Linked DNA regions of Alligator mississippiensis. The protein of the gene in region 1 interacts with the protein of each later gene in a biochemical or structural test. Links are inferred from orthologs where the notes say so. Each region holds a gene or a part of one and is shown on either strand. Other genes may lie near its edges.

Region 1 (15,417 bases):
AGTCAGTGCCAGCCCTTTTCACATTGAATGTAATTGAAGCTGGATTGAATCTTGCATGAGAAAACAAACTGCTCTTTAGTGCGGTGTGTCCTAATGAAGCCAGAACCATCCTCTTTTCTACTTCTTCCCCCGCTTCCCATGAATATACTTAAGATTATGTTAAATCAACATTTTTTTTTTTTTTTTTTTTTTTACTGGACAGAATGAGTGAATGATGGATACACATGATGGTTTCTAAGTGTCACCTTCCCTCAGAAACTTACGTATTCCCACCTCCATGTGCTAAGCTTTTGGACCATGGAGAGCAAGAGACTTCCATAAAACTGACCACTTTTTAGCCTGCCAGGCAGGTTGGAATAGCAGCTGCTTTAACTCTGTGCAAAACATACTCTGAAGTAGCATATTGAAAAGCTAGAAGTGACGAGTTTTTCTCCCCTACCAGCGTGCCTTTAAAACAGGACCTCCGAGCTTTTTGGACAAAGTAGGTTGAACATAAAAACATTCAAAGTTTAAGTGTCAGCAACCCAGCCCACTAGCAGGTTTTTGCAGTACATGGAAAACTTAGTGCCACTCATTTCTTTTTAAATGCAAGACCCAAGCCAAAATCCAAACTCCTGTTTGGTCCATTTAGAATCAGAACAAAGTTTGCATTGGTTCTAAGGTAAGGGGTAAGGATCCATGCTGATCCATACATTGAGGGGAAATTGTGAGCAGCAGTAATTCTGCCAAGCCTCATATCTTATATAGGGCTCATCTTATCTGTCTCACGCTGCATCACAACTTGACAATAGACTATCTGCATCTTCATCAAAACAGTGGTAATCCAGAGAAAGGAGCTCTTGGCAGAATCCAGTTTTCCTGAACTACAGTGCTGCTGAGATAGGAGAGTTAACTTTCTGGCCATAGGCTGATAATTTTGATTCAGTTTTGTCTACAGAACCCCACCCCCCCAGGCTATGACATGGCCATTTGGGGTGTTGCAAGAAGAGGAGGCAAAGTCTCTAAGCCAGTGGTCCTCACCCCCTTTAAATACAAGTCACCCCTCAGTAAAAACTTCAGCCACCTCTCAGTAGATTTGGGGTACCCCTCAATTGATTCGAGGTACTCCTTGGAAAATGCCAATTCATTTTTTTTTTCACTCAGAAAAATAATAAATCAATCGCTGCAACAGGTCACAATGGTTTTTAACACTATGGGTTTGTATGTGAAAACTCTGGGTTTATCTTGTGAACCGTGTTTACCTAACAATACTAACGCTGTGCAGCACCCTTGAAAGAATCTCAAGGCACCCCAGGGTGCGATGGCACCCCGGTTGAGAATTACTACTCTAAGCAGCAGTCTTTTTGGTTCACAAAAAGGTAGTCTCAAAATGTGCAAGTCACATATGCTACTAGAAAACATCCTGTGCTGAGCTGTAGGGCGTGGACTAGATTGCCTTCTGGGCTTATCTTGCACTCTGTTTTTGGCTACCCAAGAGTAGATGTGTCCTTCCCAGTAACAGGCATCACTAGTGCTCTTAACTGGTCTTGCAATCCTCTGCAGGCAACATCTGTCTCATGCCCATTTGTGCAGCTGCATGTCTTTTTGGTTCCACCTCCCTGCCTCCCCCCCCACCACCACTTTTCTTTCATGGGAGCTACCAGCATGTTCAGATCCTGGCTTATAATGAGGCTGAAGCCTTCTTGTATGTGCCAACAAGAGGATTAAGAATACATGAGTAAAATAAAGCATGAGCTATTAAAGATGAAATGGCAGTATAGAAAGGAATGTCATCAGCTACCCTCCGGTAATATGTTTCTTTTTCTCTGCACAATTAGCAGTCGTAGCCTCTCGAAGTGGACGGCTCTGATGAGGGAGAATATGTGTTTGCTCTTAGAAATGCGCTGTGTATTTTGAAGCTACTTCAGAACCTTTTTCAAGCCCTAAATCTCTACTGATTGGGATAAGCATTAAAGCCAGCCGGCTGCTTCTGCAAAAAGAAGCAATAAACTAGTTAATGTTGTTAAGAGGCGGTTAGCATTCCTTTTAGATGAATGAGGCAATTCATACCTCTGAGCTATTGTTTCATTATTTCAGGGAAGGGGGGGAGGTTGTTCAGTGTTTCCCTTATAAAATGGCTCAAAAACACAGGAAGATGACAGTTGTATTAATTTATATTTGAATAGCATGTAGGGGGAGGGGGGGAGGGTTTACACACGTGCCAAATATATATATAAATTGCCAAAAACATATTTTTATTTTTAAACAGCTTGAAACTTGGAGCATAGCCTTGCCACTCTAAGTCACTCCCAAAAGCACCAGCTTCTGGATAGACGGGATCATCAATAAATGCCACCTTACATTTTTAAGGGATAATATCCCACGGAAATCAATCCCCTTTGCATTGCATAGCGCTGCTGCACAATTTGCAAAGCTTTTGCCTGCTTCCAAAGCAGTTGTCATAGGTTGGAGATGAGGCATCAGACAAGATGGGCCTTCTGGCAATTCTTGGGTTCCTGCTGTGACACTTGAGCCCCAATTTTCAGTTCCAAGCATGCCGTGGTGGTCATTTTTGAAGGCCTGCATAGATTTAAGAAGAAGGGAGCGAGGATGTGTGGTTTACAACGGATCTAGCTATGAATTTGGCTAATACACCTGAAGTAATCTTGGAATTTAAAACTGCCTCCCAGAGACGGGGGTGCAAGATAAATGGCACGAGATTCCAGCCTGCAACATCTGTCAGACTTGGGTTTCAAACAGTTGGTATTGTATTTACATTGATAGTCATGGTTAAGATTGTATGCATTTTTCCATTGCTTGTACTGGTAATTTCCATTTGTTCGCGATTCAGAAAGGGCAGTACTTGTACAGCTACCTTTTTCCTAACTGTTCAGCTTGGTCCAATTAATTCACTGTTATTACAATAGGACCCCTCTGTGTGCGCTTATCCTCCAGAGAGGTTTAATTGGCACCTGCCGTAGTTCACAAGCATGGTGAAACTAAAAGATGCCCTCCATCCCCCTTGATGGACAGGCATGGCAAGATCCACCTGGGATTGGGCTACAGCCCGGATGGTGCGGGTGGGATGATACAGTGCAGTAGTGGTCCCCAAAATAGAGCACCTGGGGAGTGGGGCACCCGCAAAGGTATTCATTTATAGTGGTGGAGCCTGACCAGAAGTGGGGTTATAAGCCGGGAAGTGGAACCACCTTGTTAAAATACTGGAAATTGCTGAGATCAGGCCCCATTGTATTAAGCGCTGTGTAAACACAGCAAGGGACAGGCCCCCAATGCCTGACAGCCCGGATGAATGAGTCAGGAAAGGCAGGAGGGGAAAAGTCTGCAGACAGAAATGATGTGTCCCAAGGCCTGGTCAGTGCAAGACTCCCATTGAGTTCGGTGGCAGATAAATGCCAACCCAAGGTGCCTAGATGTTGTGACCTGGTGTCATCATCTGCAGCAAGGGGCCACCGCACTAAGGGGCAAACTTAAAAGTGGTCGGGGGGCCGTTGCTTGTAGGATACAGGGCAGATGGCTGAAAATGGAGGGGTACAAGGAGCACTGGGGGGGGGGGGGGTTTGAATTCACCCTAATTGTGACACATCCCAGATCCTCTCTGGTGACTAGTTGTGTCCATTGCTAGAAAGGAATATCTGGATTAGGGACACGGCAGGCTTGCCATAGATGTGCAGAATCCGAGAAAACGAAGGGACCTCAGGAGGTCACATCCAGTCCAACCCGCTGCTCCGAGCAGCACCAGCCCCAGCTCCATCATCCCCACTATGGAGGTCTCCTGCTGGGGAGGGCTGATGCCTGCGGGGCAGGATCCTTGCAGGGACTAGGGTGAAGCGGAGTGCATCAAGCTGCTTGCCTATCTAAACCCAGGAGATAAGTGGCTGCCTAATCTAACCCCCCCAGCCCCCTCTCTTCTATCTTTAACACTTCCTGCGGGGCAGAGGAACTGAGCTGAACACGGTCGTGTTTCCTGGCTGGAGGCGCAGCCCGGTCGTGACTTTCTGCCTGCCTCTCCCACCCCCGACACACGCAGCCGGGTCGTGAGCTGCTTCTGGCCGCGGGGCAGGAAATGAGTAAAGAGGGGCTGGGAAATCTCCCCCAGCCTGGAGGAAGAGGGGCCGCGGCTGCGGGGTGCAAGGGCTCTGCCATCCTGTCTCTAGACCGCGGATCTGATGGTCCATCGTGCCTAGTCTCCTGTGTCACACCGGGGCAGAGAGTGGAGGCTGGAAAGGGACAGTGACCTGGGACTGACCGAGTTTGTTTTGCACCACCCCTGTTTCTCTCTCACTTGCAGCCTTCAGCATTGAATGTCCCGGTTCCCAGGCTGTGCGCCCAAATCCCTAAGGCCAGGGCACAGATGCACGCGGCCCCCTGCTTCTCCCAGCCCTCTGCTCCGCATTCACCTCTTCCCCACTCACAGCCTCCCTCTCCCACACCTGCTGCAGCAGTGGCATCCCTTCAGCCCGTGGCTGCTCGTTACTTTTGGGGAGCCTTCCCTCTGCCCTGGCTCTGCCCGTCTTTCCTCTCTGCTGGCCAAGCAAGACCTGTGTCCGGCTGGGTGGGGCGGCGTGGTCCATCCCTTGCCAGGTTGCAAGCTCCCAGCCCTTCTGCAGCCGGGGGGCCGGGTCCTGAGGAATAAGGGGACGGGGGGTGTCTCGATGTGGGATCTAAAATCAACCCGGATTCCTTGCTTAAATGCCCGCTGGGCTGGATAAACCCTCCAGGGACTGGATCTAGCAGCACCGTCCTTGCATGAGCCCCAGCTCGTGTCTTTCCCCGGCAGGCGAAAACCCTGCGTGGCCCCGAGGTGTCCTGATGGGGAAAACAGGGGCGGGAGGAAGGGGAGGAGGGGAGAGGTTATGTCTCAACAGCACGATGCTTTTGGCACTCCGTGTTTGGGGGGTCGTTACAATGCCTTTATATATCTTGTGTGCGTGTGTGTGTGCGTGCGCGTGCTTAATGGGGGTGCATCACCATCGCACAACATGCACGCCTATATAGAAAGAAAGAAAGAGTATTTGGTGTGTATGGCCACACACAAACACACACACACACCATTCATGCATACACACCTTTCATGCATTTATATGTAGTAGATTTCGTGTGTATACACCCCCCCCCTCCCCAAATATATTCTATTATATACTAGATACACTGTTCTTTGCAAGCTTTCGGGTACAAATACCCTATATATATTTATGCGTGCGCATACCTCCCCCCCACTCATTCATGCTCATGTATATGTGTGTGGGTGGGTGTAGGGAAGGGAGAGAGGCATACACGCACACACACATATGTACACACACGCCATATATACTATGTATTTATCTTTGATGTATTACACACACCATTTATGCATACATGTGTGTGTGTGCACGTGTAGGGAAGTGAGAGAGGCACACACGCACGTACACATATGTACACACACGCCATATATACTATGTATTTATCTTTGATGTATTACACACACCATTTATGCATATATGTATGTGTGTGCATGTGTAGGGAAGTGAGAGAGACATACACGCATATACACATATGTACACACGCGCCATATATACTATGTATTTATCTTTGATGTATTACACACACCATTGATGCATATATGTGTGTGTGTGTGTGTGTGTATACGTATATGTATACGTACATGTACACACCAAAAGCTATTTAAAGGGATTTTAACGACATCCCAAACACCGAGTGCGAAAAGCATCGTGTTGTTGAAGCACGAGACACTTGGTGTGTGTATACTGGGGGAGGGGGGGTTATGAATGAATGGGGGGGTGCACCAAAAGCAATTAATGCAACTGTAAACAAACAAAACCACCTTGGACCAACACGGCTCGGCTCACAAGCATCGATGGCATTGCCGGCTTCACCTGGTGCAGCCTTTCAGGCTCCCCTTTGTTTTATCTGCTCGTTTGCTCACACGCCATAGGTTTTGGGGGTCTCGTGTCCCTAATGCGCCCTAGCTCGTGTTGGCATCTGCCTAGCGGCTTTCTCCCCTTGCCCTCAGACTGCGGGCTCATTGACTGCCCATGACTTCGAGACAGGGACACGTTTGTGCGCGTGAGTGCGGACGCCGCCTACCTACCTGCCCTCTTGGATCCTCATTTTGGGGCGGATCCGGGGAGAGCAAACAGGTGCAGCCTTTGCTAGGTCGAGCCTAGTGAAGACAGGCGTGCATCGAAAAGAAAGGCGGGGGTGGGAAAGAAACACGCCCTGGACGTGTGTGCACCCGGCTGCTCTTGGGGGTTTTTTACATCACCCTCCCTGGCTCTTGGGGCAGCCCTAGCTGCTTCAGGCAGAGCTCAGGATTTCAGAAGGGTCCTGCTCCCTTCCTCCCAAAAGAAATGCACCCCAGGGGATGGGAGACACCACCAGGGTTGCAGACACACGGAGCAATTATCCCGTTTTAATGCGATGTAACGCTGTTTCTTTCAAGGTGCCCATCTGAGCCCCGGGTGAAATTGACACGAGAGATCTACCCCGCTGCGGGGTGAAATTGACACGGGCGATCTCCCCCATCCAGGTGAAACTGACATGGACTGCCCCCTTTCACCGAGCAAAGGGAGGGGCGCCCCTTTTCTTTAATGTCCACTATTAATTTGCTTTATTTACCCAATTGTCCCAGGACCCCTCTCTTCCCCACCTCCTCTCCCATCTCTTCATCTCTCTCAGCAATTTATTTTGGCTCATTAAATTTAATTAAGAACTGAGTAGGTGTTCCATATTTAATAAAAAAAAAAAAGAAAGAAAGAAAGAAAGAAATGCAGGGGCATAATATCCCTCCAAGAGGACTAAAATAAAAGAATCGCTATTCAAATTGTGGACAGTCACGGTGCATTTTTTATTACTCTTTTCTGCAGTGGCTTTTTAAGAGCATCTAAGCACACACACATAAAAAGCTATAAGGCATGCATTCCAGAGTTATTCCTATGCATATCCCTGCAATAATTTTCCGCTTTCCTTCGATAAAATTGCCAAATAATAATGAATCATTTCATAAATAATGGGTTTAGAGGCTTATCAGGGCAGGCGGGCCATTGCTAGGGCCTTATCTCACTTGGCCACATTGCTCTAGTGTTCCGCTCTCCATACTAAATAGGAAACTGGACGTGATGTGGAATTAGATCCTTCTCCCGTGAAGCCACCCAACACTTATTACAAATATAGCAGCAATGAATAGGCCACAAAATGGCTCCACTCACTTTTACCAATGAAAAGCAAATGGTGAGTAAGGAGCACTCCGTGCCTCTCTGGGAAGGGGAAAGGGTGGGATGTTGCCTATTGTTTTAGGGGGCTTCCTTAGGGCAGAGAGAGAGAGGGGGGGTTTCCCCCCTCAGCCCCCCACTTTGGTCGAGCATGGTAGGGAAATGGATAAAAAAAAAACCTAAAGGATTGTTGTCGGGGTGGGGGTGGGGATAAGGGTGGGTGGATTATTTTTGTCCCCACTTCTCTGCTGGAGCCTGAGCCCCGAAAGGGTGGGTATTTCAGCCGTGGGCAGGGGAGGATGGATGTGCCCCGGGGTAGGGGAGGCACATCTCATCGAGGGGTGCCTTGCGTTTTGTTTCTGCCTCTGCCCCGGGGTCGGGTTTGACTGCGGAGCCGGCAGCTTAGACAGGCCCCGTGTGAACCCAGCTGCCAGGACCGGCTCCGAAATAACCAGTTCTTTAATCCGATTTTTTTTCCTTGGGTTTGGGGGGGGGGGCACACATTTATCAGTGGATTAATGTTGGGGGGGAGGGAGAGGGGGGAGTTTCCTGTCCAAGGCACGGTTATAAAACAAAAGCAGGCTGGGCAGGAGATGCAAGCAGCCCAGCCCGAGCTGGCCGGCGGGGGACGAGGCAGGACAGTTACAGGCTCCTCCAGCCCTCCCATGCCTTGTTCCCAGAATCACACTGATTTCACCCCAAAAAAAAGGGAATCAAAATAAGGCTCGAGGCTGGGCCACGCAGGGAATCATCTACCTGCGACCTGCAAACGGGCTGGGACCTGCTCTTATTTATTCCTGCGAAAAACGAAACGATCTCGCCTTCTTTTTTATTTTATTTCATTTTATTTTATTTTATTTTATTTTATTGACCTGGCATTGCAACATTTGCGGGAACTGGGGAACTGTAGAAGTGGGGAGGAATTGGGATTGTCCCCAAAGCTCCCAGAAAGCAAAGCCACATTTGCTTTGTTGTTTGCGGATCCAACAGCGGGTTCCCTGGGATATTGGTTAAAATCATAATCATCATTATTATTATGATCGTTATTATTATTATTATGGTTATTAGTAGCATTATTATTTCTATCGTTAGCATCTTCATTTTTATGGTCATTTTTTCTATGATTAGTATTATCAGCATCATTATTATGTCGGGCTTCTTCTTTATTTTTATTATGTTGGTATACTTTGTTATTTTATTCCTGATTGTGGTTATTCGGGTGGATTTGATTTCCTATTCATTCCTCTTTCCTATTAATTTCGTTCATCGCAAGGGAGATCCAAGCGCACGCCTGCGCCCTTAGGAAACCCTTGCACCCCTGTGCCTATCAGATGGACCTCTCCATTCAGGCACTTTTTATATCCTTCGGGGTTAGCAGCATTTAACGAGTCCCAGGGTCCGGGATTTTATTTTTCAAGCCACCGGGTTTTTCTACTAAGCTCATGGTAGTTGTTCCCCTCGTGCGGGCGGGCGGGACGGGGTGGGCGAGCCCTGGAGGAGACCATCACCCAGCCCAGCTCCCAGCACCCAGCACCCACTCATCTCCCCTGGCTGCAAGGAGAGTTTTAGGCCCTCCAGGATGAATAGGATTTCTTCAGGGACATTATGCATCAGTTTGAGAAATGGAGCCGAGAGAAACATAGCCATAGGCAGGCAGTACAAATAAATGATCTCCGAGCTTTGTTGTGAACGGGCAAAGGGGTGTGCTCTACACACAGACAAACAGGGTTTAAAAAAATAATTAAACATGATGTCTAGAAGACATAAATAGAGTCATAGACTATAGAGCACCCCAAATAAATAGAAGAAAGAATAGGATACGATAGGAAACAGAAAAGAAGAAATAAATAGAGTAATGTTATATCATAGAGCACCCCAAATAGAGTAAAGAATAGGATACGATAGGGAATAGACTAGAATAGAAGAAATAAATAAAGTCATATTATCTAGCACCCCAAATAAATAGAATAAAGAATAGGGTACGATAGGGAATAGAGTAAAACAGACTAGACTAGAATAGAAGAAATGAAGTCATATTATCTAGCAAATAAATAGAATAAAGAATAGGATATGATAGGGAACAGAAAAGAAGAAATAGAGTAATGTTATATTATAGAGCACCCCAACTAAATAGAATAAAGAATAGGATACGATAAGGAACGAAACAGAAGAAATAAATAATGTTATATTTTAGAGCACCCCAAATAAATATAATAAAAATAGTATACAATAGGGAATAGAATAGAATAGAAAAATAAGAACAGAAGAAATAAATAGAGTAATATGATAGTATAGAGCACCCCAAATAAAATACAATAAAGAATAGGATACGATAGGGAATAGAATAGAATAGAATAGAAGAAATAAATAGAGTAATATTATATTATAGAGCACCTCAAATATGTAGAATAAAGAAGAGGATACGATTGGAATAGAAGAAATAGAGAGTAATATTATATTATAGAGCAACCCGAATAAAATTGAATAAACAATACATTAGTATACGATAGAGAAAAGAAAAGAAAAGGATTTGCATTCACAATCAATGCAAACCGTGGCTATATTTCTATATTAAGCTAAATATTTCCACAAACATGCTGCCTGTGTTTGAATCCGTTAGGGACAGAGGCGAGGAGAGCCCGGTCGTGCCTGCAGACAGATGGGCAGGCGCTGATAAGGGGTGCTGATACTCCCGGGTCTATCTGGAGCGGATGTGTCCGCACGCACACACGTGCGCGTGTGTGATGTGTTGACACCCCGTCCCCCCTGCCCCGCACGCCGGGCTCTGGCCCCCCAGGAGGTGGGGGCCCAGGGGCAAGGGCAGCAGGGGCCGTGCTGCGGGCTCCTGATTGGCTGGGGGGGGGAGGTAGCTGCACATCTCTCCATCTGCTCCGTCTATCTCGGTGCAGATCTCCCCCGCTCCAAAGTGCCGTTGGTCTAAAGGAAGCCGGGCGAGAGATCCCCTGGGTTGTTGTGTTGGTGTTTTTCCCCTTCCAGGATTTGAGCCGCATGATACGGATGAGGGTCGCCTTCCTCCCCGCGAAGTCGTGAGTATGCTGGCGGTGGGAGGAGTGAAGGCAGCCTGACACCGAGAGGTCTTTTGTTGAGACAGGAGACTCGAGGTGTTCCTACTTAACTATGACAGATGTGAGTAATCTCTTCCTATGCAATATCAGAATGGGCAATTAGGGGGCTTTTTGGGGGGGCGGCTAAAGAGGGAGGGTGGGTGGGGGGTAGGGAGGAGGGGGAGAAAGAAATGCTGGGAGGGTTCAGGTCTTCTCCCAAGCACCCTAATGGAGGCAAAAGCAATCCAGGTTCCCCAGGTTTCGCTTGGGCTCGGACCTGACGCTTGCGCTTGAACCCGGCCCCGCTTTACTTCCATCAGGCACAGACACAAGAGAGATATAGCGCGCTAGGGCTGATTCCCCTTGCCCCAGGGGCAAGTGCCCGGGCTCCTAGACATCTCCATGCAACCGACCCCTGGCAAGGCGGGGGCTCCTTTCCCCCACTGACCGCCTCGAGAAGGGGCAGCCCGGGTTATATTTTGCAACAGGAGCTTTGCCAGGCCCTCTCCTATCAGGAGCACCGGTGTGCAAGCGCCACGCTTGGCTCTTGCAGGCGAAAGTGGGGGCCAAATTCACGGGTTCTGCTTTGGTTAAAAAAAAAAAAAAAAAAGGAAAAGAAAGGATCCTGTGTCTGCAAAACAGGAAACATCAACTGAGCCGGAGTCGCCTACAGACACCGGCGTTGGGACCGTGCTCCTGCCTGCCTCCGGAGCTTAAAAGTGCCTCTCTAGGAGGGGCAGAGCCCTGCTTTGCTAGGAGCAGGGCAGATGGGCACCGTTGTCACCGGGCGCCTGGCTCTGCTGGGCCAGCCAGGTCGGACTGCGCGTGTTTTCCAAGGGAAGCATTGCGGTCTGATGCTGAAATATTCCCTCTCCCGCACGCGCACGCACACGCACACACACACAGAGTGCATTTCAATATTGCACACACCCACCCAGACACACACTGTAACGCAATACTGAAATATTCCTTCTCTTGCACACACACACTGTATTTCAGTACTGAAATATCCCTTCTCTTGCACACACACACACTGTATTGCAATACTGAAATATTCCTTCTCTTGCACACACACACTGTATTGCAATACTGAAATATTCCTTCTCTTGCACACACACTGTATTTCAGTACTGAAATATCCCTTCTCTTGCACACACACACTGTATTGCAATACTGAAATATTCCTTCTCTTGCACACACACTGTATTTCAGTACTGAAATATCCCTTCTCTTGCACACACACACTGTATTGCAATAGTGAAATATCCCTTCTCTTGCACACACACACTGTATTGCAATACTGAAATATTCCTTCTCTTGCACACACACTGTATTTCAGTACTGAAATATCCCTTCTCTTGCACACACACACTGTATTTCAATACTGAAATATTCCTTCTCTTGCACACACACTGTATTGCAATACTGAAATATTCCTTCTTTTGCACACACACACAGATGCTATAGCCATGCTATATCTCCTATCCTACCCTATATTTCAGTACTGAAATATTCCTTCTCTTGCACACACACACTAAATTTCAAGACTGAAATATTCCCTCTGTCACGCGGGCACGCATGCACACACACACTGCGTATTTCTCCCGAAGCCATTGGGGTTGCTCACGTTACACGAGTCCAATTAAATATTTAACCCACGCCTCTGTACAACAACGTAATTACCGCAATGGTTTTGCTGAGAAATATGTCCCTCGCTCGTGCGCAGATTAGCCCCTAATGCTTCGCTATTAAAGTCGTAGACCGTGATGCTGTATTTGTGGCCGAGCAGTAGGTGCCCCGTGCATACGGAGGGATTATCAGTGCAGGCAGTGGGCTCACCCCCGGCCCTGTGTTGTGCAGTGGGAGGACAGTCAGCCTTTCCCGGCAGGTCCCAGCTGTGATGGATGCATGTATTCCGGCTTTTACAAGCCGCGCTGCCCCGAGCTGGCGGCTGCAGGACTCGGGCAGCCAAACGGGGCTGTGCTTGCTCTCCGTAGCCTGCTCCCAGCACCGGCTGGCAAACGGGCTAAGGGGCCACGAAACTCGCTTCAAAACCCAGCTCGGCTCTGCCCGGCACGCTCCGGATCCGCCTGGCAAGCACAGGTGCATGGTACGGGCGTGTAGAGGGACACTCCGCTCCTGGATCCCCTCACACCCGATCTTAGCCTGCAAGAGGCCGCGGATACGGGGCATATCCGTACAGACACCCGCTGAGTGCGCCAGGGCGAGCTGGCCCGTTTCCGAGGATGTAGGTCCGAACATGTCTCCTGGAGGATATGGCACGTCCTGTTAGGGGCACTATTCATCTCACACGGTGTGCACCCTAGTGCCACCCAGCATCCCAGGAGAGGATAGACTAGGATTCAGTGCAACATAAAAACTGCACAGCACAAGGTTACAGCGTGATATGGACTGTGATATAACATAACATATCGTATTGCTATGCCATGCCGTACCACTTATCCTATCCTATCCTATCCTATCCTATCTTGTTAAGTGATGATACAGCAGGACATAACCTAACACAACAATACAATATGTTATGTTATAGTCTATATTATCCTATGTTATGTCATGCCATGCTATATATCTTATCCTATCCTATCCTATCTTGTTAGGCGTTGATACAGCAGGGCATAGCATAACATGGTATTGTTATACCATACCACATCACACCACACCATACGTCCTATCCTATCCTATGTTGTCATGCGATGATACAACAGGACATAGCATAACATAATATGTGGTATGACAGAATATGACGACATGTATCATCTTGTTCTGCTAGGTCACGTCCTGTATGGTTATGATAGAACAGGACAGAGCATAATATAATGTGTGATATGAGAGACCATAACACGCCATCATATGGTATTGCTGTGCTATATCATATCGTATCATATAACATAGCATAGCATAGCATAGCATAGCATGTCTTGTTCTGCCGTGGCAGAACAGAGCCCAGCAAAACGATGCGTGATGTGAAACGACAGAGCATGACACGACCCGACCCGACCCGACCCGACCCGACACGATGTGACACGAGAAGCGGGGCCGTCCGGGCTCCCCGGGGTGCAGTGCGGGGGCTCGGGCGGACAGGGCTGGATCCGGGCCGGGGGGGCGCGTGTCCCCTCCCCGCAGCCCCCATCCACCCACCCACCCGCCTGCTCTCTCCCCAGGACGATGGAGAGGCCGCCCGCCGCGCTGCCCCGCAGTGACCCGCGCGATGCAGACAGCACGAGCGAGCCGGAGCCGGAGCCGGAGCCGGAGCCGTCGGGCGAGCGCGGGGCCATGGAGGCGCCGGGAGCCCCGCAGCTGCTGCTCAGCGGCGCGAGCGTGGAGGGCGGGCGGGCCTCCCCCGGGCCGCCCCCGGCCGCCGTGCCCGTGATCGAGCTGGTGCGCAGGGGAGGCGCCGCCGACATAAAAGGCAGGGAGGCGCCGGGCGACGCGATGCAGAGAGCGCCGGGCGCCGAGCTGTGCCGAGCCGCCGATGCCGCCTGCGACGCCCGCATGGTGCAGCTGAGCCCGCCCGCGCTGCCGCTGCCGCCCGCCGGCAGAGCCATGCTCTACAGCCTCGGCCAGCCGCTGGCCACCATCAACAGGTCCGTGCCCCGCCGCGCCCCCGGGCTGCCCGTCCCCGGCCGGGCTGCCCGTCCCCGGCCGGGCTGCCCGTCCCCGGCCGGGCTGCCCGTCCCCGGCCCACCGGCCGAGACGCGGGGCTGCAGGCAGCTGCCTCCAACCCGCGCCTGCTGCCGGGGGCATCCTCCAGAGCAGCCTCTCGGTTGCAGGACGGTCTGGACCAGGGCTCTCAGGGTCCCTTCAGGGGCCAGATGGGTCTGGAGGGGACTCCAGATGGGTCCAGATGTCTCTTGCAGTCATTTTAAGGTTCGGGTGGGTCTGGAGGGGACGTCAGGGTTCAGATGTCTCTGGAGGTGATTTCAGTGTGCAAAGGGGTCTGGAAGTGACTTCAGGGTTCAGATAGGTCCAGATGTCTTATGTGGTGATTTCAGGGTCCAGGTGGGTCTGGAGGAGACTTCAGGGTCCAGATGACTCTTGCGGTGATTTTAGGGTTCAGGTGGGTTTGGAGGGGACTTCAGGGTTCAGATGTCTTTTGAGGTGATTTCAGGGTGCAAATGGGTCTGGAGGTGACTTCAGGGTTTAGATAAGTCTGGAGGTGACTTAGCGGTCCAGATGTCTCTTGTGGTGATTGCAGGGTCCAGGTGGGTCTGGAGGTGACTTCAGGGTTTAGATAGGTCTGGAGGGGACTTAGGGGTCCAGACATCGCGTGTTGTGATGCCAGGGCCCAAATGAGTCTGGAGGCGACCGAAACGTCCAGATGCTCATCAGGTGACTTCAGGGTCCAGATGTCTCTTGAGGTGATTTCAGGGTCCAGATGGGTCTGGAGGTGACTGAAAAGTCTAGTGGGTCTTGAGGTGACTAGAGGGTTTCAAATCTGTGTGATTATTATGATCTGAATACATATAACAGGCAAAGGGATGTGTGTGTGTAAAAAGAGAGGGATGTGCGGTGATGTATATGGGTGCATTTTCAAATATATGCATCTGGATAGCCCTTTGGATTTCAAACCATTCCCTTTCCCCAGGAATGATCTATATTCAGACCATTCATGCTGGAATTTTAAATGCAGAGGTGTAAATGCAGCAAATACACAATGGATGTAGCACTCAGTATTTTTTCCCTTGAAGAAATCTCTTAGCTCTAGGTAGGGTGTGAGATTTTTAACCGGATCAAGAATCATAACCATGAGAAGAAAGTGCTTTAGAGTATATGCTGCAGGCAGTGGGTGTAAATAAAGATACATGCATTGGCTGATGCTGTTATATCTTGTAGTTCCTCTCAGAAGTAGGATTCAATATATATATATACACACATACTCTCCTACTTTTATATACTGCATATGTATACATATATATTTATTTATATACTGCTTATATATAATACACATAGGATGAATTACTGATTATAATAGATGGATGTCAGGCTAGTTAAGAAAGGTGCTTTCTTGCACATGCTATCTACATGCTATAACACATTGGCTGAATTACTGCTTATAATAGATATATATATTATATTACTGATGTATTATATTAATATAATGCATTAATCCTATATTAATATAT
Region 2 (15,634 bases), on another chromosome or scaffold:
TAACAAGTCACTACTGAATTTCCAGTTATGAGAATTATCACACCCTATTTGTTCCCTGACTCACCCCACATGGCTGATAATGTCAGTTATTGTCGATACACCTTTGCTAATAGAAGTCAGTCTATTTGCTATTGCTTCAGCCTCTTTTCTTTATTTATATGTAGTTTAGATTCTATGTAGCACTGCCTGATAAGGGTCTACTCTGCAGTACTCCCCCCCTATCCCCCCCCCACACACACACTCTAGACAAAAAACATAGCTTAAGTGATTATCTCCTCACTGTAGCTATGAATTTGTGTCACCTGTGAACTGCCTTTTGAAGACCATGAGGCATGTCTTGGCTATATCATCCCATTTATCTTAGTCCACTCATAGATGTCCTGTTCACATACTATGTCCGAGTTGATGAGGAGATATCTATCACCAACGCAAAAATGTTTCTGGCAAGCAGCACATTTGAAGCATTCCAGATGGTATACCTTGTCCTTCACCCTCATGGTCATCTCATAGGCTCGGATTCTCTTGTCACAGGAAGCACAGAGGCCATCTTGGCCAAAGAGCCTAAAGAAACAACAAAGAGTTGAGCAAGGTACTCTTGAAGAAAAGTGGGGTGGGAATCAAAGCAAAATTTAGACACAACATCAGAAACCAGTGTTGCACTGTTACACTTGCATTACAAGGATACATAGAAGTTTAAACATTTGTTTGGTAAAATCTTTCAACCAAGGGTACTCAAAACTTGTGGTCCCAAAGGCAGGAGTGAAAATTTGTCAGAATCATACATCTTGCCTACTTTTCAAAAGAATATACTTGCTTTTTTATGATAAAAAGTAAAAAAAGCCTGATCCTGAAAGATTACGAGTTACTTCAATGGGAGTGACACCTATCTGAATCTCAAAACAAATGTGTACCATCCTAATACTTGCATCTCCCCTCATCCAGCAACAGAAATTACATTATGGTTGATAAATATTACTATTATTCCTTACTATGCAGTTAAAAGACAGGGTTGCCAGACGCTGTGATCGTAACACACAATCTAGTTTTGTTGCCTTTCTGAGATCCCTTCGGATTCAAAGACTTATATACTCATGAATGACTGCTATGTTTCAGAAAGATGGACTCTATGACCCTTTAGAAATCTATTCTAGCCCAAAGGATTTTCTTATCTGGCTTGCTTTTTCATCCATATTAAGAAACCCTGTTGAGACATTATTATGTTGTCTATTAAAAGGACCCTGTAATGAATGCTCTACATATATATCCCTCTCACAGCATGTATTGCTGCTCTCAACTGGAACAGTATGACCTGTTCAACTGTGTGTGACAACATAATGAATGTCATCTTCTAATGCAGGTTGAAGCTTGTGGAGTTTATAAATCCTGCTATTAGTAAACAAGCAGAATGTGTTTTTATTACGTTTGATAAAGTAGAGGAAACGCTGAATATTACTTGTTTGAAATATTTTCTCATGTAATTACATTCTCTGTGTTGCCATACTAATTTTAGAACCATTTGTCCTCACATATTTTTTACTGTGCTTATAGACACAGCCTGCTTCAAAAAATAACTCTTAAAAATAACTAAGAGATCTAAAAGAAAAAGAAATCATTTATTTTCTCTGCCAGAAGATGTCACTGTTCACTTCTGCCAATAAAAGTAATGTTAACATTACCTGAAGGTTGTGAAATTTTTCATTAACTCAAGACAGCTGATGAACACATTACACTTAAATAACTGAAAACACCCAGCATAGAAAATAGCATAGAGATTTAGTAATCTTGTTCCTTTGGTCTGTTACTCTTTCATTTAAAAAGTTACCAAGTATTCAGCTAGTGGAAGTAGGACTGGATCGTTGTTAGAATATTACATACACAGGAGATTTACAGCCTGTCTCATTATTGGGGCCAATTTGTCCATTATAACAAGCATATATGCCTAGCACAGCAAGCCTAGCAGAGCAAAAGCATATATACCTAGCATATCAAAAATCAATATGCTTTAACTGTAATCAAGAACATGGAACATGCAAGCTCTTTATAATCAAGTTAATGGAAAATATATAAAATTGAACTCATCTTATTTATCAATACTTGTAAGTGCAAAATGGACAGTGATTTACTAACACACAAACTATTAAGATCGGATTGACAAAAAAAAACAAAACATTTGTACACAAGGCAATGTTTAAGTACATTCTTATCCTTCTGACTTCAAGTTAACAGGATGCTTTCTTAAACTGGGACCGTAATTATTTTAATATGATAGGACTGTGTAAGTGTAGTGCCTTGCAGCCTGAGGAATCCTAAAAACCTACAAATTGAAGCACAAAATTAGAAACAGGGATTAATTCACTCACTGCTGAAAGACAGCCACTCCACTAGATAATAAATGCACAGAAGCATCACACAGTAGTTCAGTTAAGTAAAGAATCTCTTATCTAAGTGGTATTATGGTAATGGCAGATATGGAATTTGGCCAAGGCACCAAGACACCTTATTTTTACAAATTTGCCAAAAGATCTTTCATCACCAATTGTCCTCAGGGCTTCAGTTATAATATCCTTGAATCCAAAAGGCAACACCTGCAGAACCAAAATACTCTTCAAACCATTGTAGGACATTGGCTCATTACCAACTAAAAGGAAAGAGTCTGCTTATTGAATTTCCAACACCATTTCCTATGACATCTACTGAAGGTGTTCCCATGCAGGCACCAAAACCACCTAGTTATGCTGAAGCTGTGGATCTGGGCAGCACCACTCAAACATGGTACCATATCTGTAACTGCCCTCAGCCTTTATATTTTAGGAATAAATTAATCATGGCAAATTCCTTACAGTTCTTATGCAGCAGCATCACTGGGGATCCAACCTTCATTCTAAATTTGTAACTAACTTTGAAACTGCAGAAAGAAAGCAAACAAGAGCAGAATGTTGTCAGATAGAGGGACTCTGTACCTGAGATAGTCTCTCCTGCAGAGTTTCCTGCCCAGTTTATAGTACAGTCGTCTCCCCACCTCTCCGAGTCTGCACCCACACAGGTCACAGCTGAGGCAGTCTTCATGCCAGTACTGATCAATGGCTTTCAGGAAATAGCGGTCCCCGATGTTCTGTTGGCAACCTCCACATGTCAACAGTGAAGGGGGAATTTGGAGCACCTCATCCACCGGCTCCCTGAGAGAATGAGCAATCGTTGGAGAAGGAAAAACCCTTTAAACCAACTAAATAGGAAGAAAAAAAGCTCATGACCAAATTAGAACAGGATTTATGGCCAGTTTTTCCTCCAGCTAAAGTCAGTGGCAGTCCCCTGCCCTCCTCTTGATATCACTGGGAACAAGGGTACACTTTAATTTTGTTTTTAAAAAGGAGAATAGCTAATATTTCTGAAATCACCCAAGTGGAAAAAAATATTTGCTCTTCATTTCTTCTGGTTCAAAGAGTTGCATGTGAACATGACAATCTATACAACCTTCCAGTCTGTTCCTTGGTGTAAAAACATTGAATGTATTGTTAATTAATTTTCTATGGACATGTATTGTTTTCCTCTACTGGACAGAATTAGAATTGCCCAGTTTGAGTCTAATTCCTATACAAGTGCTACAAAATACATGAGATTCTTCTTAACCTAAGGGATTGGGGGACTGTACTTTTGCAGCAAGAGATCTGGAGTTTCTGTTTAAAAAAAAAAATGTTTCGTTCTTGTCTACATATGCTGATAGATAGCATAGTGATAGCTATAAAGTCCAAAGATTTGTTACAATATTCTTGACATTTTCAAATAGCTCTCTTTGTCCAGATTAAAATGCAGAAGTATTCATGACAGAACAGCTTTTGTGGTGTCTTCAAAAGGGTTTGTATATTTACCAGTAAACATCAAAAACCCAACTTCATGAACCTGTTTAAACCCCAGGATGTGTGTGTTAGGTGACTGAGAACCCCAAACATTATTGTAAAACAATTGCATTTGTTTTTAGGAATACACACTTCCCATATTGCTGGCCTCATCTTGAAACTCTCCCTCTTCAGTGTTGCCACAATCAATGGGAATATTGCCTCAATAGGGGCTACAAGTTTGGGAGAGTTATATGAAAGTATCCTCCAAGCATGAGGTCACATGGGATTAACCTCTCTCTAGGGAAGGTAAATTTGAAGTCTAAGCCTTGTGATGGCATCTGTTCTAATAGCACAAAAATGAATTTACACAACAGGTGAGACTCTGGCCCTATTGAACCCAATAATAGTCCTGTCATGGACTTCAGCAGGGCCCGAATTTCACCCAGACTTAATGCAGAATTTATCTTTTATTCTGAGTAAAACAACTAAGGACCTGATTCTGATCCCAGTGTACTACATGGACTTTAGACCACCATAGTTCTATGAATTTCAAGGAGTTATGGCTGATTTACACACCGGGGAAAGAAAATCAGCCACCCACCTCCTCCCCATTCTTTTTTGTAGTACTATATTAAAGGGCACTTTTGCACAATTCCAAAGTAACATTTTATTCCTATCCTATCATTTGTAACAAGCACTAAAATAAAGAGCAGATGCACTAATACAAGAGGGCTAAAGCTATACTTTTTTTGCAAATATGTTTACTTAAGAAAGTCTCAGTGTTGCCTTTTTGCAAGTTCTAGCAATACTATGAGCAAAAATTACAAGACTAGACTGTGGACTCAATCCAGCAAGGAGCAGAGCATGCTGGCCCCACTCCCACCAAGCATTTAGGGCCACATCCAAAGCTCAGTAAAGCCAATGGAATGATTCCATTGGATCAGAACTTTAAGCACACACTTAACTTTAAGCATGTGACTTGTGCCATCCATTTACTCAAGTAGTTTGCTGGATTGGGGTCAGACAGTGCCCAACGCCTTGCAGAAATTAGCCCTAAATTCTTAGGTACATCATTCAGTTATTGGTATAGCCAACGGTCTGTTGACAATTTGCTGGCGGCCTGTACCCTGCCAAACCTGGGGGGGGGGGAGGAAACAGAGCATAACTATACTGAGAGAAGTCAGCACAACTACTCTGAGTGCAGTCAGCACTTCCCGCAGGCTGCAGATACTAACATTTTTCGATCCCCTCGAGTTATATTATGCAGGACTTCATCAGACTTTATTTACTGGGAAAATAGCTTTCAAGTAAAAAGGACTTTCTTCAGGGTCTGAAATATGTACTGTGCTCCCTGACTTCCCAACAAGGCCTGATCCTGCTGTTTTTATGCAAGCAGAACTCCCAGAGCAGTCAGGATTTGGTGCCGATAAAGAATCTGTCTGCCTGCAAGCACTTCTATTTTTCACTGTCACAGTGCATGCTGTTCTGTCCTCTTACTGTCTCATGACTACCAGCCCCCACCTTCCCCTCTCTCCCCACAGCCCACTACACGTGGCATTGCTAGCAGAGTCATAGGGAGTTGCTACAAGCAGAGGATCAGGCCCTAGATTTTCAGAGCATACGCTCTGTTTCTCTGGTCCATTCAGTGCAACCGACACTGCATATAGAACTACAAAGGAATTTTATGCCGACTTGAAAACATCATGTTCTAAAGAACACAGAACACAGCATTTGTCTAAAGCAAATCCAATGGACTTATACTGTAGCAGTTCCTCTACCATAAATGTATCTCTCTTTGTAAGATTTGTGTGCCCTATGATATTTTATATTATTCTTGTCCCTTTTCTTGTCAGTTCAGGATCTACGACTGAGTTATTTGAAACCCTATTTTGGCTACTAGCATCCTAAATTCTGAAATAGCCTAGTAGAAGTTTATTTGGAATTGGATTTCAGGGGGAGATTTTTTTTTATGAATTTGACTGTCACCGCCTGTAATAATTCACCAGAACACCAACTAAATAAAAAAAAAATGTTTCAATTTTGTAGCTGAAATTCAGGTAGGACAGAGGGGGGAAACTACCACAGAGGTTACATTATAATTCCTTAAAAAGCAGAATATGAGGAAAAACTAGCTAACTACCTTAGCATCCCTGTGAGCAATGCATGAGAGGAGGGCTTCAAAAGATGATATTCTTAAATGCTTTGCAGGAAACAAATCCCAGATTAATGAAGCCTTTTATAGGAGGGAGGGAAACAATGATTTAAGCTTTACTTTGGACACTAGAATTGTTGAAGTTTTGGTTTTTATTCTGTGCTGTCACGATGCCAAGGAGGCACAGACCAAGTCTGAGGCACTGCTGCAATGGAGATGCGCAGCCCTGGAATTGAGTGCCATGACACCACATGGTTGGGCTGAATTAACACGCTTCTCACAAGCGTGGGTCTGCGTGTGCTTGGGTCTGAAGGGATGCCTGCAGGAAATACACTGGAAGAGCCAGCTCAGAAGGCTCCTGTCAGATCCTGAATGTAACCACCCTCTTTCCACAAACCTAGTCAAAAAGAAAGACAAGGCTCCCTTTAGACTTCCCCCTACCTACAATTCTTTGCTCTTCTCAAGATCCCTGGTCCATTTTGGCATCTCCATCCTTAGAGGTTTTGCAGACCCAGGCAGACAGAGCCTCCGCTGGAATGATCTAGCTGGGGACAGCCCTGCTTTGAGGGGGGGGGGGGGATGGACTAGATGTCCTCCCTGAGCTCCTTTCCAACCCTCTTTTCAGCCACCCCCCAGCCAGGCAGTTAATACCATCTCTCGAAAGTTTCAAACTGCCTCTGGCCTGATGAAAATGTGGAAGTTGAGCACCCATCAGATAACAGCTCTGACCTTTCAGTCTAGTCAGCTGGGGAGGGGGGGCAGATCAAACATGGGGCAGACTGCAACACTCCTCAAGCTTTGGGGAAGTCTGGCTGGGGCTTCGCTGGATCTCCAGGAGAGAAGGGAAAGAGATGGGGAGGGATGGCTGGTGGCTCCCCCCCTCCCAAAGCCCGTGTGCTGGGATGAAGCCAGGACCTGGCTTCGGCTCCAAATGGAGAAGCTGGGCTGCACGCCGGTCCCCACCCGCCATCCTCGCACGCCAGAGCCCTGCGCGCTGTCAGGCAGCCGGGGGAGGCAAAGGCAGCCGGGCTCTCTCACCTCTCCCTCCGGAGCTCGCCAGGTCCCGGACAGCACCGGCACCCCGGGAAAGAAAAGGGGTGAGGGGGAGCTGGCACTTACTCGGAGGGGTCGAGGCTTTTCCTCTCGATGGCCGAGGACATTGGCAGGCTGGGCGGCGGTGGGATGCGCCCCCACAAAGGCAAGGCGGTGTGCTCCGGTGCCTGGTCGCCCGCGGAGTTTCCCCTCCGCCCCCCAAGGGCACGGGCGGGATTTCCTCCTGCCGCACCACAGACGCGCACACAAAGCGGGCTGGGCTGGGCTGGGCTGGGCTGGGCTGGGCCGGGGCGTCCGCGGGGCTGACCCTCCGGAGCCGGCTACCCTCCCATCTCCGCGCCCAGCTGTCACTGCCGCGCCCCCCGCCCGGGCAGCTCTGGGCACGCCGGGCCGAGCGGGCTCTCTGCAGAGGCGGCGCCCAGCCCCAGCATCATGAGGGCGAGCGAGCGCAGCCCCGAGCCCCCGCTTTCATTTCCTCTTCCCCCGGCACGACTCCGATACAATGGAAGGAAATCACGCTCCGACACACAGCTGCCCGGCCCGGCTCGGCTCCCCCTGGCCCGCGGGCGGGGGCGGCCGCGCACGCAGCAGCATCCCGCGGGGCCGCCGGCTTAAAGGGCCAGGCGGGCTCTGCCTGAGCCAGGGCTGGGACCGCAGCGGGGCGGGGGGTGCTCCGCAACGGAGGGCAACACTTCTGGGAAATGCCCCTCAGGGCTGGTTTGCTTTTAAAGCGCCCCCTACTACGTTACTGGCCAAAGGCACTTAGGTGCCCTCTCCATCCACCCCCCTTTGCTCAAGGCTTCGAGATCAGGGCATGAAGCACCCACTATTATTTCACCGAAATGCCCTCTGCATCCAACCCCTTTGCCCCAGGCTTCGAGATCAGGGCATAAAGCACCCCCTACTATGTTACTGGCACAGCCAAAGGCATTAAGTGTCTTCCTCATACAAACCCCTTTGCCCAAGGCCTTGAGATCAGGGAATGAAGCATCCCCTACTATTTTACTGAAATGCTCTCTTCACCCAATCCCTTTGCCCAAGGCTTTGAGATCAAGGCATAAAGCACCCCCTACAATGTTACTGGCACAGCCAAAGGCATCAAAATGCCCTCTTCATCCAACACCTTTGCCCAAGGCTTTCAGATCAGGGCATAAAACACCCCCTACTTTGGCACAGCCAAAGACACTTAAGTGCCCTCCCCATCCAACCCCCTTTGCTCAGGGCTTTGAGATGAGGGCATAAAGCACACACTACAGCAGAACCAAGCCTACCCTGATCTGTGTCATCCGTGCCTGTGTCTCTCCTCTGTGCCTCATATAGTCACTGGTGTCTGCACAATTGTCCTGCTTAGTAGCAATATAAGAAATTTATATCTTGCCGGTGTTTGCCACTAATGAGCTATAAAAGCTCTGGCATGGAAAGGCTTGATGTGAAATGAATCATGCCTAAGCTAGAAATGGGGAAGACCCTTCGGAACCTGCCACCTCTCTCCTGCCTCTTGTCCCTCTTCACCCCAACTCCCTAGCAAGGCAGGATGGTTCTCTCCAGCCTGTTCTGGTGCCAAGTGATTTATGCTATTGAAATTAAACCTATTATTGCAATTACAGCCCTTTTTTTTTGTCCTGTGAATGAAGCATGAGGTGTTGGCTGTTGCTGGGGGCAAGGTCCTGGAGTAGGTGAACTGTCTGCTCCAGTAATTCCTATAAATACAGTGGAAAGCACTAGTGACTCCAAGGAATACCTCATTTATCTATTATTCCCATTTCAGAAATTTCATCTAAAGTCTATTTTGTGACTTTTTTCTAATCTTTTCTCCACCCCCTGACCCAGTTCTTTGGCAACCAGGGGAATAAGAACCTGAAACACATTAAAGGGCTAAGTTCAAAGTCCAGTGATGTCAAGGGAAACACTCCTGCTGAATTCAAGGGGCTTGGACCAGGCTTTATCAAATCTTTAGAGCGCTGGTTTTCAACCTGTGGTCCACAGACCCCTGGTGGTCCACAGGCTATGTCCAAGGGGTCCATAAAAAATAATTATGATCAATCAAAAGTATGTGAACACCCACACTTACAATTCAAAGCACCTCCATTCAAAATTTCCAAAGGGGTCTGCACCTCTGTTTGCAAGTTTTTTTAAGGGTCTGCAAATGAAAAAAAGTTGAAAACCACAGCTTTAGAGCCATCATTGATCATTAGGAAATGCCACCCTGTTTCCTTAAATAGCCTGTCTCTAATACACTTTAAACTCTTACAGTGTGATAACCACTCTGCTAATCAAATATTTTTGGTCAAAGAAAAATAGCTTTATAGGCAGGATTGAATTATATTCTGAATACTTAATGTCACATATATTGACTTTATGATCAGGAGTAAAAAATAAACCTTTCTGAGAGACAGAATAATTAAACTATTAAAAGCCAGAATAATTCAGCTGCCTGAACTTGATGGCAGCTTTATGGATTAGAAACAAAGTTTAAAGGGGGATTAAGAATATATATAAGGACTGCAATTAAAAAAAAAATCATGGTTAAAATAAAAGGACCAAGGATTGTGGGGAAAAAATTAACTTTTTACAATAAATGGAAGGGGCCAGATTCAGCCATCAGTTAATTTTGTGCAATAACTGTTTCCATAATTAAATGCCAGACTCCAGAGAATTGCACAGGTATAAAAGCAGAAAAGCAGAATTTGGCCTAGTGTATCTTATTATTTTTATATAATATAATGCACTTGAACCTGGTTGAATTTGAAACTCTAAATCTGAAAACAGATCATACAGATTCACAGTTCCATACTCAACACAAAGTATGTGTAGAGTAGGATTTTTCCAAGGGGTTTTACTCCCAAGGTGGGCCAATGATCAAAGTGTTTGTTCTAAAAGTCTTTTTAATAATAAAAAAAAATGTGTTTCTTATTTCAAAAAACAAGGAAATGCCAATATAAAGGAAGGACCTATTGGATACAGTCCAGCCACAGTCTAAACCTAACAATGGGTGAAAACCTTCAAACAAAATATGTAGGGTTGAATCCTGCAAGGTGCAGAAACTTCTCACTGGACATCATTGACCTCAAATGGAGCATCTCTGCCCTGGTCTGGACGTAGATGTCAAGCAGAGAAAACTCCTTCAAGTCAGTGAGACACTTTGGGCAGGAACCTATTTCACTGTATGCCCTCAAATGGCACTTACCCAGCTGTGTAACAACAGTTTGTGACACTTGATGCTTACACACAGGATGACCAAGCACCCACATGGCTACTGAGCATACTCTGTAGGTTATATTCTGGTTGTGCAGCTATGTAGCACCATACGTGTATACCTGGGTGAGCAAAAACCCTAAAACTGTAGGCAGATAAAAACTGGTGGCAAGTAGGTATTTGAAGAAGGGAGAATGGGTAACCTCCCATGTTTTAGCCCAATAGACTAGGGGTTATGGAACTCCCCCAAAAAGTGGTAGATCTAGGTTGCAGGGCTTCCTCACTCAGACGGAGGTTGAGTCTATACCTTCTGTTTCCAACAGTGCTCTAAGCACCAGGTTGCAGGTTAGGTATTATGCACATTGCTCTCCTTAAAGCTGAGCCACTGCACCTTGCATTTATCACTTGGCAAAGTGGATGGATGGAGAACAGTGGAAAAGTTTGTGTCCCACTGGGCACAAAGTGCCAAAGTAGAATCTAGGGACTTCTCTTTTCCAGGGAATCAGGCATGTCACTGAACCATATAGCCTCCAGCTTGTTTTCTTCCTCCTGGCCCTACATAGCTCTTTATTTCTTGGCTGCCCAGGGAAGAAGAGGCAGAAGAGAGAATTGTATAATGTCTAACCCATGGCCAGGTGGTAGACCACTTTGCTAATAACCAAGAGATGGAGGGAGGGGACTATAACCTGTAACCCCTGTTTCCTTGATAAGAGCCTCAATGATTTGCTTATTATGCTAAAACCTGGTGGAGACCCTCTTCCAACATCTAACAGCCATTAGTTATTGGCTTTTTCCCAGATATAAATTGAGGATTTACATGAATATGATGCCTGGCCAGGGCACAACCTACTAAGAATACTTAGCATCTTTGTGAACACTTATACGTCTAGGCTACATGTAGAAGAGGACCGCAAACTATGCATAAGGGTCAAAAACTGCAGTTACATGGCAAGGTAAATGCTATTTGGGCACATAAATGAAATAGGACTATGCCCCTCATGTTCTTGAAGTTAAGCTCACTGAAATGCTTTTTCTGGATTTAACTAATAGGAACCTCTACCACAAATGAAAGACTGAAGAAAGTGGGAAGCAGCTGGTTAATGGTGAATATACCGGAGGAAGCTTTTTACATGTTTTGTCATTGTGCTGTCTGCCAGGTACAGGTCCTGGTCAGGCTTTCACATCATGGACAAATTGTCCAAAGGTGACATAATCAGTTCGTTAATTGGAGGGTATGTAAAAGTGCTGGCAGTGCCACATGAATCATATAGATACTACCTACATACAGATCTTTAGAATAGTGGGGCAATGACCAGGAGAAGAAGCTGTCTTATTCTCCTTCTTTTCCATGGAAGTAAGATGCCAGCAGATGAGGATTAAATCAAGGGGAGAAAAAACAGGAATCATCTGGGTGGTGCATAAAATAATGCAGGTATCACTCCACTGTGCTTAACTGGCAGAAAGCTCCAACTCAATCTGATTAAACAACAACTAGTGATCAAAAACTACTGCATGAGGATTAAATTTGGCATGGCACCTTAAACAGACTACACTGTAAAGACATAAGGTAACACTTGACCCCCTATGGCAGGTGGGATTTCAAACTGCACCAGAGATGGTCATTTAGCAAGCAGCACAATGATAGAAGGTTAACAGAAACTGTCAGGAAGAAGTGTCCTGTACTGATGGGCATGTACCAAACTACAGTTGGCATTAACAAGATGGTTGAGTAGAATTTCCATCTAAAATAAATGCCTTTCCCTAAACTTCCCTAAACCAACCCTCAGTGAATTAAGAGGCAAAAACCCAAGTAAAGAAATTCTCAGCCTCCTAAGAAAGAGCCAGATTTCTAGCATCTCCTTTTGGCTGAGGAAAATGCATATAGCAAAGTAACTGATTTCCTGGGACAACTCAATTTCTCCATATTATGTCAGGTTTGTAAATGATAACTACTGATTATGAACAGTGGAACTGGATATTTCAATGCACTCATGTGAGAAGGAATGGATAAGGAAGGACCTGGGGATTAAGGCTGGTTTATCATGTGCTGTGGGCAGGTTGCTTAATATCTCTGTGGCTCAGTTTCCCCATCTGTAAAATGTGGAATGCAAGTTTATTCCAATTCTGTATCTGAAAAAAATGTTCTTATACAAGGCATTGAGGTGCCTACATTTCCTGCATGGGGACAAAAGACCAGTACTATTTTTAGTGTTCCATTTTCTTGTTATTGTATCTTTCTGCTTGCTGTCACATTTTCTAATGTTGTTTAAAACAAATTTTTATATCTATCGATAGCTTGAAACTCATGAGGGATGAGTGTTGGTTTCAATTAACTTTCATTAAGATAGATGACACTGTAGATTTGCTCTTGAAACAAGGCCTAGATCAAATCCAATGTTATTGACTGCATTCAGCATGCAGCATTTGGACTAAAGGGCTGCAAATAAACAGGCTGCCCCTGTCTGCATATTTCTTAGTGAGTGCATTATATGTAAAATTGCAGAGCTCCTGTCAGCAATGTCAGTCATGCAAAAACGTAAATTTGTGCATTTCCAAAAAAAACACATCCTATGTTGGAATTTGAGGAACATTTTTTTAAAATTACTGCTTTGTATCTCCTCTCGGATGGTGTGACAGGGAGCAATCTCCCAGTCCCGGTCACAGTATCAGCCTGCCCACCTGTCTAGGGCAGTCTGCCTGGTCTCTCCTGCCATGCCTTTTTGTTACAATAATGGTTGTAATAAAGCAGAAGGCTGCCCATTTAAGACCCCAATGCCTAGGGGTTTGTCCATGACTCCAACCCTCCCTTATCAATTCCCATGCCTCACAGATGTCTCCTTTTGAATTGCTCTCAATGGCAGCTCGTGGCTGGGCTAAACACAGCCCTTTGCTTAGCCTCATACATTCGTCCTTTCTCTCTCTACCTTAATGGGCCTCATTCACACCACCCACTCTCACCAGGCCTCTAGCACTCTGCCCACTCTCACTGGGCCTCTTACATGCTGCCCCACACTGGGCCACACTCAACTTGCCCTGCTCCCTTGAGTGGCTCCCATAGACCATCAGGCTTGCCTACTCACGTGCCTTGACTAGCCAATGAGAAATCTCTTGGGCCCTCTCGCGACACTCATCCAAACAGTAACCAGCCAATTCACCTCTCCCTGGATGGAATTCTGACCCAAAGCCCCTTATTAGGTAACTCATTACTCTCTTTCCCTCACTAGGTCTAATTACTCACCCACTTGGCCTCAGGCCCACTTGCGGCCTCAGGCACTTGAAGACTTACCTGGGCCTAGCTGCTTCTTTCCAATACCCCCACTGTCCCCCGCCTCCGGGGCCTCAACACACATGCCTCTTCTCTGAGGCCCACACTCTGTCCCTATGCTGGGGCTTCAGGGTATTACACCCCGACAGACACTCGTGCCTCTCGATAGGTGTACTTGGCCCCACTATCTTCCAGGGTCTTACACTCCCATGGGCTCGGGAACCTCTTTCCTGGGTGTGCCTGGCCCCACTACCCTCTAGTCATAATGACCCACCAGAAGGTGGGAGCTGGGGTTATCAGGCACCCCTACCGACCTTTCACTGGCGACATAACTGGCCTGACATTTCTGGGAAGCTGTCCTGCCATGGATAGCCCCACCAGACCACCCTTTCCTGGCAGGGTACAGTTTTCGGTCTTACCCAAGATCAAGCAGGCCTACCTGTCCTAGTCTAGTTCCCTCATTAAGGCACCTGGCTGATGTCCCTTCTCACTCTGATCCCATTCCAATATTATTGGAGCCTGCATGCTGGCTAACCCCTACCCTCTTCAGCTGTGATATCCCTTCCATCAAAGGGACCTTCAGCCCACATGGGCTCTGACCCCATCTCCAGGCCAATCAGGGTGCCAGATAGCTCACCTTGGTCCTGGCCTGCCCCTCGTGTTATGCATAACTACCCTTTGGCCCGGGTCCTCTTGGATTGACCAGTGTGAGGGATCAGAAAGTCAGTCTAGTAGCTGCTGACCCCCATTCTCCAAAGGGATCCCTCCTGGGTCTCACCACAGAGCCCCTGGCTTGGCCCCTGCCAGATCTACTTGGGGCTTGCCTAACCCCTTCTGTAGGCCTACTAGCTGTTAGCCCCCTTGTTAGCCTGGGCCTTGCTCTCACTAGGCCAAAGCCTTCTTCCTGGGGCTCTGGGCCCCACTACGCCTGTAGGAACGTCCTGCCATCCCCATAGTTCCTCCCTTACCACCAATGTTGTGAGCAGCAGCTCAGTCAGGTGTTGTTGCTCCCCAGCTGCTTGCAACAGACTGCTACCTCAGCCCTGAGAGCCTGGATCTTAAAACAGCCGCCTCACCAGGGCTGGCCCACACCTGCCAGCTGCCCGCTCTCAGCCTTAAAGTGGCACTTACCAAAGGTGCTCTGCCACTCACCTCTCCCCTTAAAATGACTACAGCGGCAGAAGGGTCTCCCTGATGCTCACCTTGCAGGCTTCTCCATAGCTTACAGCAGCACACTAAGTGGTGAGCATCCCAATGGTGTTCTGCCACAGATAGGATCCCAGGACTCTTTTTTGCAGTTACAGAGCTTAGCCTAGGTAGATCCTGGCATTATCTTCAACCTGACAGCATCTAAGCATTATCCACAGATTACCCAACAGTGTTGAACCACTTAAGATAGCACCTTTCTAGAGAAGTCTGTAAGTAACAAAGAGGAACTTTGCTTTTTCAACAATAATGGCTGAACATGATGTTGCTTTGTATCCTAAGGTGCAGCTTAATGAACTGATGCTACAAGAATTCATTCTGATTGTAGTCTGAATTTAATGTTAGCATTCCATTAGCTTCCAAAGCCAAGTCTAGGTGTCTGATGACTAGCACAAGGCACTGGGTGGCTAGGACTCCTGAGTTCTATGCTTTATTCTGCCACAGCTTAATTCTCTGGCTTTGGGCATGTCATCTCACCTTTTGGTTCCTTAGTTTCTCTATCTGCAATAGGGTTGGCCTATTTTAGATGACCTGTTCTGAAGCTTAATGCTTTGGTGTTTGCATACTCCTTTGAGATCCCTGGATGAAGGTGTTATAAAAAAGTAAAGTTTTTTTTCATGTCCAAACTTGACACCGGCCTAAACTGTACAGAAGTACAGACCTTCTGATTAAAGGTTTAACTGAAGTCCTAGCTGTCTACCTCTGGAGTCAACAAAAGAATTCAGGGTAGTTTATGAAAACTAAGTGAGACAAAATGCTGAGTACCTGTTGGCTATAATATTGCAATGTAACGCAGTTGATATTGATATTGTAAAGTGCTGCAAGGGGATGTGTGAGAGGTGAAAGCAACCTATAAAACCAATTCCTTTTTCTTTTTACTTGCTATCTTGTCAAGGATCTGGAAAGCTCTTTTATTGAGTAACTTTC

The links.
Region 2: the proteins of TAL1 (region 1) and LMO2 form a complex in vitro, tested with the Homo sapiens proteins (2 studies listed by BioGRID). The link is inferred for Alligator mississippiensis from reciprocal best matches to the Homo sapiens genes TAL1 and LMO2.

What each region holds. Positions count from the first base shown.
Region 1 is NC_081828.1:4,733,077-4,748,493, reverse strand, and holds the start of TAL1 (T-cell acute lymphocytic leukemia protein 1), read left to right. Parts: upstream 1-7,118; 5' UTR 7,119-7,227; intron 7,228-7,775; exon of another isoform or gene 7,776-10,205; 5' UTR 10,206-10,353; coding exon 10,354-10,355; intron 10,356-13,455; coding exon 13,456-13,878; intron 13,879-15,417. UniProt on the Homo sapiens protein: Implicated in the genesis of hemopoietic malignancies. It may play an important role in hemopoietic differentiation. Serves as a positive regulator of erythroid differentiation.
Region 2 is NC_081825.1:217,117,454-217,133,087, forward strand, and holds the start of LMO2 (rhombotin-2), read right to left. Parts: upstream 7,347-15,634; 5' UTR 7,149-7,346; coding exon 7,108-7,148; intron 3,177-7,107; coding exon 2,961-3,176; intron 562-2,960; coding exon 342-561; 3' UTR 1-341. UniProt on the Homo sapiens protein: Acts with TAL1/SCL to regulate red blood cell development. Also acts with LDB1 to maintain erythroid precursors in an immature state.